Anolis sagrei: one gene and its partner. The protein of the gene in region 2 interacts with the protein of the main gene of each other region in a pairwise test. Links are inferred from orthologs where the notes say so. Each region holds a gene or a part of one and is shown on either strand. Other genes may lie near its edges.

Evidence for each region. The genes of interacting proteins can lie anywhere in the genome.
Region 1: the proteins of NDEL1 (region 2) and MLLT10 interact in a two-hybrid assay, tested with the Homo sapiens proteins (2 studies listed by BioGRID and IntAct). The link is inferred for Anolis sagrei from reciprocal best matches to the Homo sapiens genes NDEL1 and MLLT10.

Annotation. Positions count from the first base shown.
Region 1 is NC_090026.1:107,722,911-107,730,582, reverse strand, and holds the start of MLLT10 (protein AF-10), read right to left. Parts: upstream 3,091-7,672; 5' UTR 2,520-3,090; coding exon 2,351-2,519; intron 1-2,350. UniProt on the Homo sapiens protein: Probably involved in transcriptional regulation. In vitro or as fusion protein with KMT2A/MLL1 has transactivation activity. Binds to cruciform DNA.
Region 2 is NC_090022.1:125,981,799-125,989,238, forward strand, and holds the start of NDEL1 (nuclear distribution protein nudE-like 1), read right to left. Parts: upstream 3,101-7,440; 5' UTR 2,912-3,100; intron 1-2,911. UniProt on the Homo sapiens protein: Required for organization of the cellular microtubule array and microtubule anchoring at the centrosome. May regulate microtubule organization at least in part by targeting the microtubule severing protein KATNA1 to the centrosome.

The sequences.
Region 1 (7,672 bases), on a different chromosome or scaffold from region 2:
AGAATTATAATGGTAGAATTGCACATCTAAAAGTCACTGGATTCAAACTGCAGAAAGCTAAAACTCCATTTTAATATTAGTAAGAACCTCCTGGTGGTAAGAGCTGCTCAGTAGTGGAATATGCTGCATTAGGAGTGTGGTGGAGTCTCCTTCTCTGAATTTTAAAGCAGAGTCTGGATGGCCATCTGTCAGGAGTGCTTTGATTTGAGGCACATTTGCACTGACCGCTTACGTCAAATAAGGAGGCAGTTTCAGGATGCAGATTATTCGATAGGAAATCCTAGAACTGGCTCAAGGCCTGGATGGCACTTGTATGCAGATCACTGGCACATATGTGGATCCCTTCATCACTTTCGCTACGACATGGTTTACAGTAAAGCCCCTGATGCACATTAAGGTCTCTGTTTCAGAGTATTACTTGACTTTGGTTTCCTCAGATTAAGGCCCTTATAGTAAGCTGCAGTGCATGTGCATGGCATGCATGATGTAAACACAATGCTGTCAGGCTGTCTTTAAACTGCATTAAATGATCAGTGTAGATGTGCCCTGTGTGTTCCTGCATGACAGGGAGTTGGACCTTGTGGTCTTTTAGCACTCTATGACACTAACACTAACAAATGATACAGTGTTCATTATGGCAAGCCACACAGTAACTCAGCTGGACCCTGGTCAACTGCTCCCCTTCCATTAATCCAAACAAATCTACCATCAGAAACTAAGTAAATTCTTCAGTGGCCCTTTCCTTCCCTCCCCCAGCACCATCCTGCTGCAAACAGGAAGTCTCCTGATCCAGCCGACCTGTCCAGGCAAAGCAGCCATCGGCTGGGAAGCCAAGCGCCAGTCACATGAGAGCTAACTCTGCCTCTCAGGCACACATGTTGCCAGACTACTCCTCAAAGGTCCAAGGAAGTGAGATCCACATGGGAGGAGGGCCTAGCTTGATGTTCCCAGACTCAATATTTTCCAAAACTCTCTGAACTTGGCCTTCCTGATAACTTTTACTACCAATGGCAAACAGGAGGGGAAAGAGCAGGCAAGCAAGTCATTAGGTACACACAGAAACAAAAATAGAGGCTGCATTTTCACTGCCAAATGAATGTGCCATGGCTCAAGGCTATGGATTCCTGGGAGTTGTAGTTTGGTGAATCATTGGCCCTCTTTGGCGGGAAAGGCAGTCAAGCTACCAACTCCCATGATTCTATCACATTGAATATGATCCCTCAGAGGATCGGGGAATTTCCCACTCTGGAGGATTTTAAACAGAGCCTGGATGGCCCTCTGTCAAGAGTGCTTTGATTGTGCATTCCTGCATGGCAGAATGGAGTTGAACTGGATAGCCCTTGAGGCCTCTTCCAACTCTGATTCTATATATAAGGTCTCCCTTTTCTGAAACTGGCAGCTCCCTCTCCCTCCCCCACCCCCAGGTATAATAGAAGGGAAGGAGAGGAAAAACCATTTTGTTTCTTGGGGAGGAAAGGAGAGAGACTAAACCAGAGTTTTCCAGGCTGTGTCTCGAGTTCGTGTGTCAGCTGCAGCGTGTAGGTAAGTTGCAGAACTGTGATGAGAAACTGGAGTCTATGTGAAACAAGCAATAAATCATATACAGGCCGTCCCCAAGTTACGTACAAAATAAGTTCTGTAGGTTTGTTCTCAAGGGTAACTACAGCTAAAATTATATTCTGTTTTAGCTTTCAAGTGTAACTCTATCCAAAAATAGATTCCATTTTAGCTTTTGATAGCATAGGGAAGGGTTAACAACCCTGAGGATTTGTTTTGCTATCTGCGCCTCCTTTCAGAAGATGTCACCTCACTTTCTGTCCATGTGATCATTATTTTTTTTTAAATGGCTTGTTATGGAAACAAGGATTGGTGAGAAGCTTCAGTGAAGACACATTTTCCTGTGACAACTCTTTCAGAAGTGAATTTCCCTTCCTATATGCAGATTTCTCTCACCCCCATCCCCCTCCCCGCCTGATTTTTTATACTGTGTCCCTGTTGTAAGCTCAAGTCCCCTGGGGAGAGGGCAGGATATAAATAAAGCGTTAGTATTATTATTATTATCATTAACTAGGAGTCGTTTCTAAGTCGGATGTTCGTAACTTAGGGGCTGCCTGTATTTTAAAAATATATAAATGAACTATTTTCAGCCAGGCATGGCCAACTTGGGCCCTCCAGGTGTTTTGGACTTCAATTCCCACCATTCCTGACAGCTTTGGTGGCTCTGAAGGGGAAGAAAGATTAGAATGGGATCAAAAGAAGGGCCCGAGCGAAGTGTCCCAGTAGGAGGGAGAGTTGTTGTTGTTGTTGTTGTGGCATCCTCCCTCTGCCCCCCTCCCCCTCCCCCACTCACCTTGATGCACTGCGACATTGCAGCCGTGTCCGTCGCAGTAAACCAGCGGGTTCTCGGCCCAGCCCCTCTCGTCGGAGCACACGCAGCAGCCGCCGATCATCTCCTTCATGCTATTGGAGAACTCGTCCTCCAGTGACACAGGCAGTAGCAACGGCTCGCTAGAGACCATCTAAGGGTTAAAAAGCACCGTCAGAGCCGCCGCCGCCGCAGCCCGAGAAGCCCCTGCTCGGCACAGAAACGCCGCCGCCTTCAGTCGCTGAGCCACCGACGCCGCCAATACCGCCTCCATAGCAGGGACGTGGGACTCATGGCCGCCTGTGGGGAGGGAGGGAGGGAGGGAGGCCACAGACAGAGCCGTTGGGAAAGGGCAAGGGGGGGAAAGAAGGCCTCCCCTCAAGTGCCTCAGGAGGCGACGGTGAGGAACCCGTCAGAGCAGGAAAAAAAGGAGGGCTGCGAGATCCCCGCTGCTTCGGCCACGCAGAGAAAGTAAAACATAAAAAAAATAATAATAATAATAAGCAGGCAGCGACAGAACAGGGCCTGCTACGCGCAGGCGCAGTGCGGCCCTTCCTCACAGGAAGAGGCTCAAGAAGACGGCGGCCTGGTCGTCTTGTGTCCTCCTCATCCTCCTCCTCATCCTCCCCTCCCTTCTACATTCCACGCGGGGGCTCATGGGCCGGGAAGGCAGCGCGAGCCTCGGCGCGTTTGTGCGTCGCGCGCTCCCTCCTCTCTCTCTCTCTCTCTCTAGCGCGCGCTTCCCCTTCTCTCTGACGTTTCCAACGGCTCCCCCCCTCTTCTCAGAGCGTGAGCGCGCGCGCAGGCAGGGGGAGGGGAGAAGGAGAGAGAGTGTGTATATATTATAAGCTCGCTGAGGCGTTCCTCTCGCAACCAGGCCCCTGACAAACCCGAGTTCCTTTTTTTTGTGCTTCAAAAAGGTCTCTCCACACAACCATATAACTAGAGTAATCCACAATACCTGCTTTGAACTGAGGGCCTTTCCAGACAGTCATATAAATCAAAATATCAAGGCAAAAAATATCCCACAATATCTGCTTTGAACTGGGTTAGCTGAGTCCACACTGCCATATAGTTCAAAGCAGATAATGTGGGATTTTAGTGAGCTGTGTGGAAGGGGCCTGGGTTATCTGAGGACCTTTCTACACAGTCATATAACTATCAAGGCAGAAAATCCCAGAATATCTGCTTTGAACTGGGTTATCTGAGGCCACACTGCCATATATTCCTGGATTATCTGAGGGCCCTTCCACATAGTCATAAAACCCAGAATACCAAGGCAGAAAATCCCAGAATATCTGCTTTGAACTGGGTTATCTGAGGCCACACTGCCATATATTCCTGGATTATCTGAGGGCCCTTCCACACAATCGTATAACCCAGAATATCAAGACAGAAAATCCCACAATGTCTGCTTTGAACTGGGTTATCTGAGTCCACACTGCCATATATCTCAGTTCAGAGCAGATAATGTAGGATTTGAGTGAGCTGTGTGGAAGGGGCCTGGGTTATCTGAGGGCCCTCCCACACAATCATATAACCCAGAATATCAAGGCAAAAAATCCCACAATATCTGCTTTGAACTGGGTTATCTGAGTTCACACTGCCATATAATCCTGGATTATCTGAGGGCCCTTCCACACAATCATATAACTCAGAATATCAAGGCAAAAATCCCATAATATCTGCTTTGAACTGGATAATCCGAGTTCTCACTGCCATATAATCCTGGATTATCTGAGGGCCCTTCCACACAATCATATAACTCAGAATATCAAGGCAAAAATCCCATAATATCTGCTTTGAATTGGGTTATCTGAGTCCACACTGCCATATATCTCAGTTCAAAGCAGATAATGTAGGATTTTAGTGAGATGTGTGGAAGGGGCCTGAGTTATCTGAGGGCCCTCCCACACAATCATATAACCCAGAATATCAAGGCAAAAAATCCCACAATATCTGCTTTGAACTGGGTTATCTGAGTTCACACTGCCATATAATCCTGGATTATCTGAGGGCCCTTCCACACAATCATATAACGCAGAATATCAAGGCAAAAAATCCCACAATATCTGCTTTGAATTGGGTTATCTGAGTCCACACTGCCATATAGTTCAAAGCAGATAATGTGGGATTTTAGTGAGCTGTGTGGAAGGGGTCTGGGTTATCTGAGGGCCCTTCCACACAGTCATATAACCCTGAATATCAAGGCAGAAAATTCACAATATCTGCTTTGAACTGGGCTATCTGAGTCCACACTGCCATATATTCCTGGATTATCTGAGAGCCCTTCCACACAGTCATATAACCCAGAATACCAAGGCAGAAAATCCCACAATGTCTGCTTTGAACTGGGTTATGTGAGTCCACACTGCCATATTGTTCAAAGCAGATAATGTGGGATTTTAGTGAGCTGTGTGGAAGGGGGCTGGGTTATCTGAGGGCCCTTCCACACAATCATATAACTCAGAATATCAAGGCAGAAAATTCACAATATCTGCTTTGAACTGTGTTATCTGAGTCCACACCGCCATATATTTCAGTTCAAATCAGATAATGTAGGATTTTAGTGAGCTGTGTGGAAGGGGTTATCTGAGGGCCCTTCCACAAGGTCATATAACCCAAAATATCAAGGCAAAAAATCCCACAATGTCTGCTTTGAACTGGGTTATCTGAGTTCACACTGCCATATATTCCAGTTCAAAGCAGATAATGTGGGATTTTATTCAGCTGTGTGGAAGGGGCCTAACCTGGCTTTACAAAGATGACGAGAGGGTGTGTCTTCACTGCCCTTACTTGTCCGACCACCTCTCCCACTACATCCTGCCTTGCAGTTTAAGATCATTCGGGGAGACCCTGCTCTCGCTCCTGCCAGTGACGCAAATACATCTGGCGGGAACGAGAGACAGGGCCTTCTCGGCTGTAGCCCCCCTGCCTGTGGAACTCGCTTCCCAACGAGGTAAGATCGATTTCATCCCTCCTGTCTTTTAGGAAGAAACAGAAGTCGTGGTTCTGGGACCAGGCTTTTGGACAGCTGGCATAAATAACGCTTTGGATATGGAATTTGACTGGAATGGTGATACAGCAGTTAATACTGTTTTATTGTTTTAATTAATGTTCTATTTATTGTTTAATTGTTGTTATATTGCTTTGTTATGGCATCAAATTGTGCCAAATGTAAGCTGTCCTGAGTCCCTCTTCGGGGGTTGAGAAGGACAGGGTAGAAATGCTGGAAATAAAAATAAATTTCCTTTAAAGTTTTAAGATGTCACAGTGGCACAGCAGGCCAAACCACTAAGCTGCAGAACTTGCTGACTGGAAGGTTGACAGTTTGAATCCATGGAACAGGGTGAGCTCCCATTGTTCTGCCAACCTAACAATTCAAAAGCATACAGTTGTGAGATCAATAGGTACTTCCCACCAGAAGTGACTTGCAGTTTCTCAAGTCACTTCTGACAGAGAAAAAAAAATGGTACTGCTTCGGCAGGAAGGTAACGGCATTCCATGCAGTCATTCCAGCCACATGACTTAGGAGACATCTACAATACTTGCTAACCAGAAGGTCAGCAGTTCAAATCCACGGGATGGGGTAAACTCCCGCTTTTAGCCCCAGCTTCTGCCAACCTAGCAGTTTGAAAACATGCAAATGTGAGTAGATAAACAGGTGGCTCAGTCACAGGACATTAAATTTTTCTTCATGTTTATTACAAATCCCCTCAAAACAGAAGGTTAGGTGCAAAACCTGAGGGGGCAGGCCTATGAGCCGTTTATGGTGACACATTTCCTATTCTGAAACAGGCACACAAATATAAGCAAAAAAAAAACAACCCAGTTCGTCTCCATTTGACAGCATTTTTCATACAATAAGGGCTCTTCCACACAGGCCCATATCCCAGAATATCAAGGCAGGAAATCCCACATTATCTGAGGATGGACCCAGATAACCCAGTTCAAAGCAGATATTGTGGAAGGGCTATAAGATTCTGAATATCTTTTAACATTGATGGTTTTGGGTAGCACTTTCCGCCAAAGGGCATAATTTAATAGACATCTCACTTTCCATTTAGAACTCCAAAAGACCTTTTATTCCCATATAGTCTCAATCAATTTTAAAAAAAATCTAAGATCCCAAACATCTTTTCACAGAAATCCATACAACTATGTAACCCAGAATATCAAGGCAGAAAATCCCACAATATCTGCTTTGAACTGGGGTATCTAAGCCCACAGTGCCATGTATAAATGTGCAATATGTGGAGTGGTACAATAATAACTGGAACAGCCTGGACTACAATATTGGATTATGTGATTTTAATTATTTTAATTGTTGAAATGTTTTTAGCGGTTGTTTTAATGTGTATGTTTTATTTGCTGGATATGTTCTGTATGACATCAAATTGTGCCATTATGTGTGCTGCTCTGAGTCCCCTTTGGGGTAAGAAGGGCGGGATATAAATATGGCAAATAATATTATTATTAATAATAATAATCCAGTTCAGAGCAGATAATGTGGGATTTTGCTCAGCTGTGTGGAAGGGGCCTAAGGCTTCCTAAATGGTGAACAACTGTTCTCTACCAACTGAAATATGGAAAGGAGATAGTACTATTGAGACATTCCCACCTTTTTTTCTCCTTTGGGGTTTTTTGCGAACACAAGGTTAGATGCAAAACCTGAGAGGACAGCCCTATGAACTGTTTTCTGGGGTTTACACTAGACCGGAGTTTCCTATTTTAAAACAACATAGAAATATAACCAAAGACATTAACTCTTGTTTGGCTCATACAAGACCTCAAATATATTTTAACAAAAATAGGTGGTATTGTTGGTAGTACTTTGTGCCAAAGAACCTTTTAATAGAAATCTCACTTCCCATTTAGGACTACAAGAGAACTCTTATTCCCATATAGTCAACCTTTTGGGTTTGTTTTATTTATTTATTTTTACATAAAGCAAACCATAACATTTCTAAAATTTCCTAAATTGTGAACAACTGCTCTCTGCCAACTGAAATATTATCTTATTGTGAGAAACTTTCCAAAGCACCTTCTGGAATTCCTTATTTTTATATAAATATTTCCTCAGTCTGAGCGAATCCTGAAGTTCAAGAAATCATAAAGATAAAATATTCCAGACGGAGTTTTAATTCTAATCTGCACCCATGGGAACAACCCTCTTCCCTCATTGGGTCTTAATTTGCCTAAATTATATTTCCAAGTTTACTGTCCGGTTTATTATTTTCAGATTGAGAAACGTATTCTGGTTGCTGTGGGCAAATCCAATTGAAATGCACATACTTTTGCTTAATA
Region 2 (7,440 bases):
TTGTGTATCACAAATACTTCCAATAAGTTGACATCTGTACTGCATAACATGTGGTATCTGTTTGCATAACTGCCACTTTCTTAATTCAGCAACAGGATAATATTTCCAGTGACTCATGGGAACTCAGTACTCCGACATCATCAGTATATTTGTATATCTTAGCAACTGTTTGACAGCTGAACACCTTGGCTTTTCCTTTACCCAAGTTTAACAGGATAGTAATTAAGGCCCCTTCTACACTGCCATATAATCCAGACTATCAAAGCAGATAATTTGGATTTTACACGGCAATGCAGAAGGGGCCTAAGAGGCTTTAATTTTACAGCAAAATATCAAAATTAGTAAATAAGCTATTCTTGTTATTGAGATAATAATGATCCAATGTATATGATGTTTTACAAACAAACAAGAGAGGTCCCTTTCCAAGGAGACTGGAATCTGAAATGTGACACAGCAGAATGCTACAAAGAAAGATGCAAGTAAGACTGACAAAGGAAGAATATGTACAGTTGCACGTGACAGAAGCAATCACATTTGTAACAGTTTGTGAAAGTGCATCAAGGTCTAAGAGCAAAGACTGGTTCAGGGGAGGAAAACTGAAACCCTCAACCTACCCATGCTCCCTTACTGTAGATTTCTCCCCTATGTCTCTTAGGCTTCAATAATAGCAGTCAGAATGGAATGCAAACAGTGGAGAGACCATTCAATTCACCTTCCCTACATTTCCTCATGATATAAAATTATGAAGACACAATTTATACATATCAAATATAAAAACAAATCATGCTAATTTTTATCTTTTTGACTCAAACCAAGAGTGAGGGCATGAAACAATATATTTAATAGTGCACTACAGCATAATTCACAAAAAGTAAATATTCATAAGCTCTTTACAGTTGTGGCCAGCACTTTAACCTGATTTATGAAAGTTTTATGTGTGTGGGAGAGAACGGCAAATTACAGGGTCCAATAAAAAGGAATTCAGACTTCCCAGGATTTTACACAGAAGATGTGGGAAGAAGATCCTTATTCACACAACACATATTTAAACTCTAGAATTCACTAACAAAACCACCAATACTTATTAGTCATGATATTATATATTTCCAGTATTAGAAGTTGTATATTTTGTATGCCAATCATAGATAAGCACAAGTGTGAAGGGAGAGATATGACATGTTTTAGAATTTTTAATTTTAAAAAATTTATTGATTGATATTGTCCGTTGTTTATATTCAGTCAAAGTGTGCCTTGTTTTGATGATATATAATTCTATTTTATGTGTGGCACTTTAGTGCTTTGTTAGATATGCCGAGTCCCTTCAGGGAGATGGTGGCGGGGTACAAATAAATAATAATAATAATAATAATAATTGCTGATGCACTCATGTTCTGCTTGTGGGTTTTCAATTAGCATTTGTTTGGTCAACATGGGAACAGAAAGGAGATCTGATAGGCCTTTGGTCTATGTATAACCCTCAAAAGATTTGATACTGGCCTGAACTGACAAATAAGTTTTGTTTTAGGGAGTTGGGAAAGTTCAGCTACTGACCAGGGCACCCAGAACTTTATCATGATTTTACAATGAGGGAGGATGTTGCTCAACTACAAACGAGTTATCTCCAAAAAAATACACTTCTTACAGAATGGGAATCTGTCAGCTGTGACTTATTTGCTATTACTTCAGCCCCATTTAATGCAGTTTCAAACCAGAATTAAAGTATGCTGGTTTAGCTGTGCAGACGATTAAACAGGAAATTCTGGAACCAGTTTGCGGCCAGGATGGTGATGACAAACCACAGAGCATTGGTACATATGAAGGGGTTTTCTTTCATCCACTTCTGTGTCTGGCTGCCAGTCTGATGGTCAATGTAGATGGGGCCTTAGTTCTAGTAAATGACTCCCCAGCTCCTGCCTCCCAGGTGTTTCAGATTTCAGTTCCCAGAATGTCTGATTACTGGCCAAAGTATTTCACGCTTTTGGGAATTGGAATACAAATCACCTGGAGGCCTAGAGAGATGATTTCATCACACTAGAGAATGAATCCACTTTAAATCCGGTTTCTGCCTGCCACAGAATTCTGGGGTTTGTAGTTTAGTGAGGCTGTTAAAGGCTCCTCCCTAAACTACAGACCCCAGAATTCTGCAGAAGAAGAAACCGTATTTAATGTAGATTCATTCTCTAGTGTTATGAAGTACTTAGAGAATGGGTGTTCAGGTGGAAACCCCAGAACTTTAACGTGAGTCAAGCATGACCAAATAGAAAGACGTGGGGGAGGGAGATGTTGCCAGAGGCTCCCTCGACCCGGATGCTCTTCAGATGCTCCTAGTAGGCCCGGTCCTTCGAGAAAAGGCCAAGCGACTGGCCCCGGGGCGGGCGTTGAGCTGCGAAGAGCGGAAGGTGAAAGAGGGGAAGGAGTCGAGGCAGGCGGGTGCCCCTTTCGGCATAAAAGAGGGCCCAGGCCGGCGGGAGCTGGAAGAGGCAGGCGCCAGAATCGCGCGAGGCGGGTCCGAAGAGTCACGAGGCCACGCGGGCCTTGAAGGAGACGCCACGCGCGCGGCCCCCGCCTCCCAATTCGCCCCCCCCCCCACTCAGGGTGCGAGCGACACGCCAACGGTCACCTCGTGAACCCCCTCCCGGCTCCCTCAGGGGACACTCGCCACCGCCCTACTCCGTGAGTGACAGCGCTTCGAGCCAATCGCGGCGAGCCGTGCCGCTGGTTTCAACTAATAAGCGCCCGCTAAGGGGCGGAATCTGCCCCGTTGTCAATTAGCGGCCAATCGGGGAAGGAGGGAAACGGGAGCTTTTTCGGGAAGGGAGGGGGGCCCAGCCGGATTCGACAACACCGTGCCCTAGTACCCGGACATCCTCCCTGCCTCCCTCCCTGCCAGGCCCCGCCTGGTGCGCCTTACCAGCTGTCTCTCTCGCGGAACCTGCTGCTGCTGCTCCTCCTGCTACTACTGCCGCCTCCGCCGCATCCCCACACAGTCGCTGACACACTCCGAACCCAGCCTCATCCGGGGCAGCAGGCGTCAGTGATACGTCACAGAGGGAGGCGAGGCCCGGCACGAGAAAAGCTCAACGCCCTGGAGGGGCGGGGCCAAGAGAAAGGGGCGGGATCATGCAGATGAGGCGCCGCTGGCGGGAACCCGCGTCAGTTCTCGGTAGGCGGGGCCACAATGCTGCCTCGGCATTGTGAAATACGGAATGCAGGACCTGAACAGGCTTAATGCTATACCACCATGGGATTTGTAGTTATACAGGGCCTCTGTTGTTCTCTGCCAATGAGTGCTGGTCCCTTAAAAGGTAAAGGTTTTCCCTGACACTGTCCGATGGTGCTCATCTCCATTTCTAAGCCGAAAAGCTGGCGTTGTCCGTAGACGCCTCCAAGGTCATGTGGATGGAGCGCCGTTATCTTCCCGCAGAAACGGTCCCTCTTGATCTACTCACACTCGCATGCTTTCAAACTGCAAAGTTGGTAGAAGCTGGCGCTAACAGCGGGAACTCACCCCGCTCCCCGGATTCGAACCTGGTGCCTTACAAAACTACAAACCCCATTAACAAAGTCCTATTGATAATACTGGAGAACTTGTGTGTGTTTTATACATGCCACCATCGTTATGAAGGTATACACGGGATTATGCTTTAAACGGAGAGAAAAGATGTTTGACAGCTGTCAAAATTTTCACACGGCCCCCTCCCACATAGCTGAATAAAATCCCACATGATCTGCTTTGAACTGGAATTAATAGTGTGGACTCAGAAAACCCAGTTTAAAGCAGATACTGTGGGATTTTCTGCCTTGATCTTCTGGGTAATCTGGCTGTCTGGAAGGGCCCTTAGATCGTAGTGTTAGGACATGCCAAAAACTGTTTAATGTGGTGACATAAAGTGTTGATTTCTTCAAGTTTGTCATGTGATGAATGTTCTAGGAAAACAGGGTCAGGGTAGGATTTGATACCAGCTGAAAACATAAATTATCCTGTTTCTACCACAGGAGAAATAAACAAGGGCCTTCCACACAGCCCTATATCCCAGAATATCAAGGCAGAAAATCCCACATTATCTGAGTGTGGACTCAGGTAACCCAGATCAAAGAAGATATTGTGGGATTTTCTGCCTTGTTATTCTGGGATATAGGGCTATGTAGAAGGGCCCTTGGTTTCATACTGGTTCCCCCCTCCAGCCCAAAGCTACATAAAATGGCATGCAAGTCTGAGTATTCTCTCCACAGACAGGCTTTCTGGGGAAGAGACTGTATCAGAGTAGATCAGTAACCTTGGCAGGATGTGGTATGGTTTAGGCTAAGATGTTTACAACTGTACGTCATCTTCACAGGAAGTGAGCAGGAAGTTAAAACAGGAAGGAAGAGACGAAACAGACAGAATTGTTTCATAAGTATGCCAGTCTGACTGTCTCCAAAAATTACTCATGATAAAAATTCTTCTAAATCTTTTAAACAATAGTATGTTTATCACAAATATTGTTCCAAGCAAGATAGGTTTTTCTGTGTTAGTTTCAGCACATACTTTCTTATGTAGTTCTTTTTTTGCAATTTCCTTTTGGCTTCATTTCTGTACTTCCTGTTGCATTGTTTATTTGTCCAGTGACCTCTAATCTATCTTCTACCTCAGGACCTGTAACTCTTTCCTGAATTATCTGAACTTCACCTTGTCTGCTCTCATACATTACCTTTTGTCTCTTTGTTACTCACCTCAATCCCATTTCCTTTCTTATCTTATGTAAATTTCGCTAGCAACATTCTGTGGTTTGGCTTTAGTCACATGCTTTCTTAACATTTTACATCTTTAGCTCTTTTAATATGGTCTTATATGTACATAAGAGTTTAGGTTGAGACTAATATAGTTGCACTTGAGTCTCATTATATACAGTGTGAAAAGGCAGGTGTGACTTTAGACTACTGAGATATAGTTGCACTTAATGAATCTGAAACCCACCCAATATGCCAATTAGGCAAACTTCATTTTTCATTTGATTCATATGCAAAATGTAATCTAATCAGTGCTAGTTAATTCAGATTCCCCAGTTTTGTTTGATTTCAAGCTGGTACACTGCTAATCCCGATTAACATCATTTTACAAAATTCCTTCTAATGCTCTTGGGACATTTTTGGGGTGTTACTCTTTTTTCTCTACAGTATCAACAAAGATTTCTAATTATTGTCAGAGTTCATGTGTGTATTCAGTTCAATCAGAATAATTAGTGGAAGCTGGAATGATCCAGACAAAACTAAACATAGTGGACTAAATCTAATTGCTAGCCCCAACTAGGGTATCCCTATAGAATCAATGAAACTGACCTATGCATATGTGCTATTACATCACCTCTCAACTTGTGACCCCATTAATTTTATATGGTTTTCTTAGACAAGGAATACGTAGAGGTGACTTTGCCAGTTCCATCCTCTGAAATATAAACTACAGGACCTCATATTCTTTGGTGGTCACCCATTCAATTACTAACTGGGACTGATCCTTCTTAGCTTCCAAGATCAGATAGGCTTTGGTGCCTTTAGGATATTTAGGCCATGGGTTGACATACTATTCAGCAATTGGTTTTGTGAATCTGCTCTATCTGGATTTAGGCTTTTTATTCCCACTGGTTTGAACATGAGTGTTAAGTACACGGAAATCTACAGAGAAATGTTTTTAAGAAACACCTTATATTGTTGCACAATCTATTAATTCATAAAGGTTCAGCTGTAATTAATTAAGTTTTGACCAGAGGACAGTGTCCCATTCAAAGTCAACAGGTGGCATTTTAACCATTTAGATAGCAATGGCCCAAAGGATGAACAACAACTTTCTTGACAGTACCTACTTATAGTTAGAGCTACAGTTATCTTGTTTTCAAGCAGTCTCTGTACTAAATACTACCCAATCGCTGATCTGTGTGACTGGTAATTTCCTTAGGATTCACATAGGGAAATTGACTCTTCAGACATTTCAGACTAATGTATTCCTCATTATCCCTGAACATTTTTCATGCTGTCTGAGGCTAATGGGAGTTAGAGTTCAATAGCAACTGGGAGGGATAGGTTTCCCACCCCTGCCTGTACCAAAGAACTATGAATATCTGAAATGAGTGTTGCCAAAGGGACAGAGGTAGATTGCTCATCGTGTGGTAATGATCACAGCAGCATTCTTGGATGCTTCTCCGCACATTGCTGCACTTAAATTCCTATACTTAACTGTTCAGCCTGCCAGAATGCTGCTTGAGACTGTGACCCTGTAACCTTCTCTTCCCTGAGTGCAATTGTAGCTCAGCTGTATCTGAGGGAGCAGTGGACCAATGGCATGTGTCTATTCCCTTCACTTCCCCTGCATTCGCTGCTGCACCTGACACATGGCAACATCCCCTCCAAATTTGTCTTTGTCCATTGCTGACGGGGCTTTCATGGAATTAACAAAGAGACAGTGTTGGGGCCCCTGTTTCCAAACTTGCATTATAGGGGTTGCCTGTCTGGTTAACACTGATTTAAAGTTGATGTTTGTTTTCAATGGACTTTTTAAAAAAAAATCTTTTGCTTGCACCCTGTTGTAATCTGCACATGTTCCCAGGCATTCTTGATGGGCCTGGAGTCCTTAGACTCACAAAGGCACAGTCGCTTAGCATTAATTCTTCCCTGTGCTTAGCAGCCATTGGTCTCCTTTAGCTGCGGTGGGGCTGGGCTTCCCAGGCAAAACCAAGTCATCCATTGAAAAGCAAAGGGATAAAAGAGACATAATAGATTCTATTGAAGTGAGATTTGTCTCATGGGGTTGGAGGTGGGGTGATGGGGGTGTGGAGGAGCCTGAGAGCAGAGACTAAGGAGTGTCTCATGAAATTCGGGGTCAGGAAGTCTCCCAAGGCTTTTGCTCTCTCTGTTTTGATCACATGAGAATGCACATGGGGTGGGCATTTTATCTGAAGGAGCAAGTCTGGGAAGATAAACAACCTTTCACAACCTGCTAGCACTGTTGTGAATGCAATCTATTCAACAGTATATACACTGGCTCTGTGCAACACCTGTTTTTCTTTTGGTGTGCCCACTACCTCAATCTGAATTTGTAATCTTTGCTGTTGGAATGTTAAAATCCCAGTGTTGAGGCATTTTGATTCAGGTGTGTTGCCTGAATGAAATCACATGGCTATGTATGATGACAAAAAATAATGTCTAGGTTGTAAACAGTTACCTGTTTTGATGAGCTTAGAAAGTTACTTTCTTTGGACTACAGTGGTCACACTGACTGAGAGTTCCTGGAGGTTATAGTCCCAAATAACCTTTCTAAGTCAAAAGGTATGACAGCAATTCTGATGGGAATGCTTGAACAAATAAATCACCTCTGGCAATAATTAATAAAGGTGGAATCTAGAACTATGTCTGTCCAGTCTTCCATGCCCCTTTTTCAAATAGACTGTGCTAAAGTTCCAAACAAGC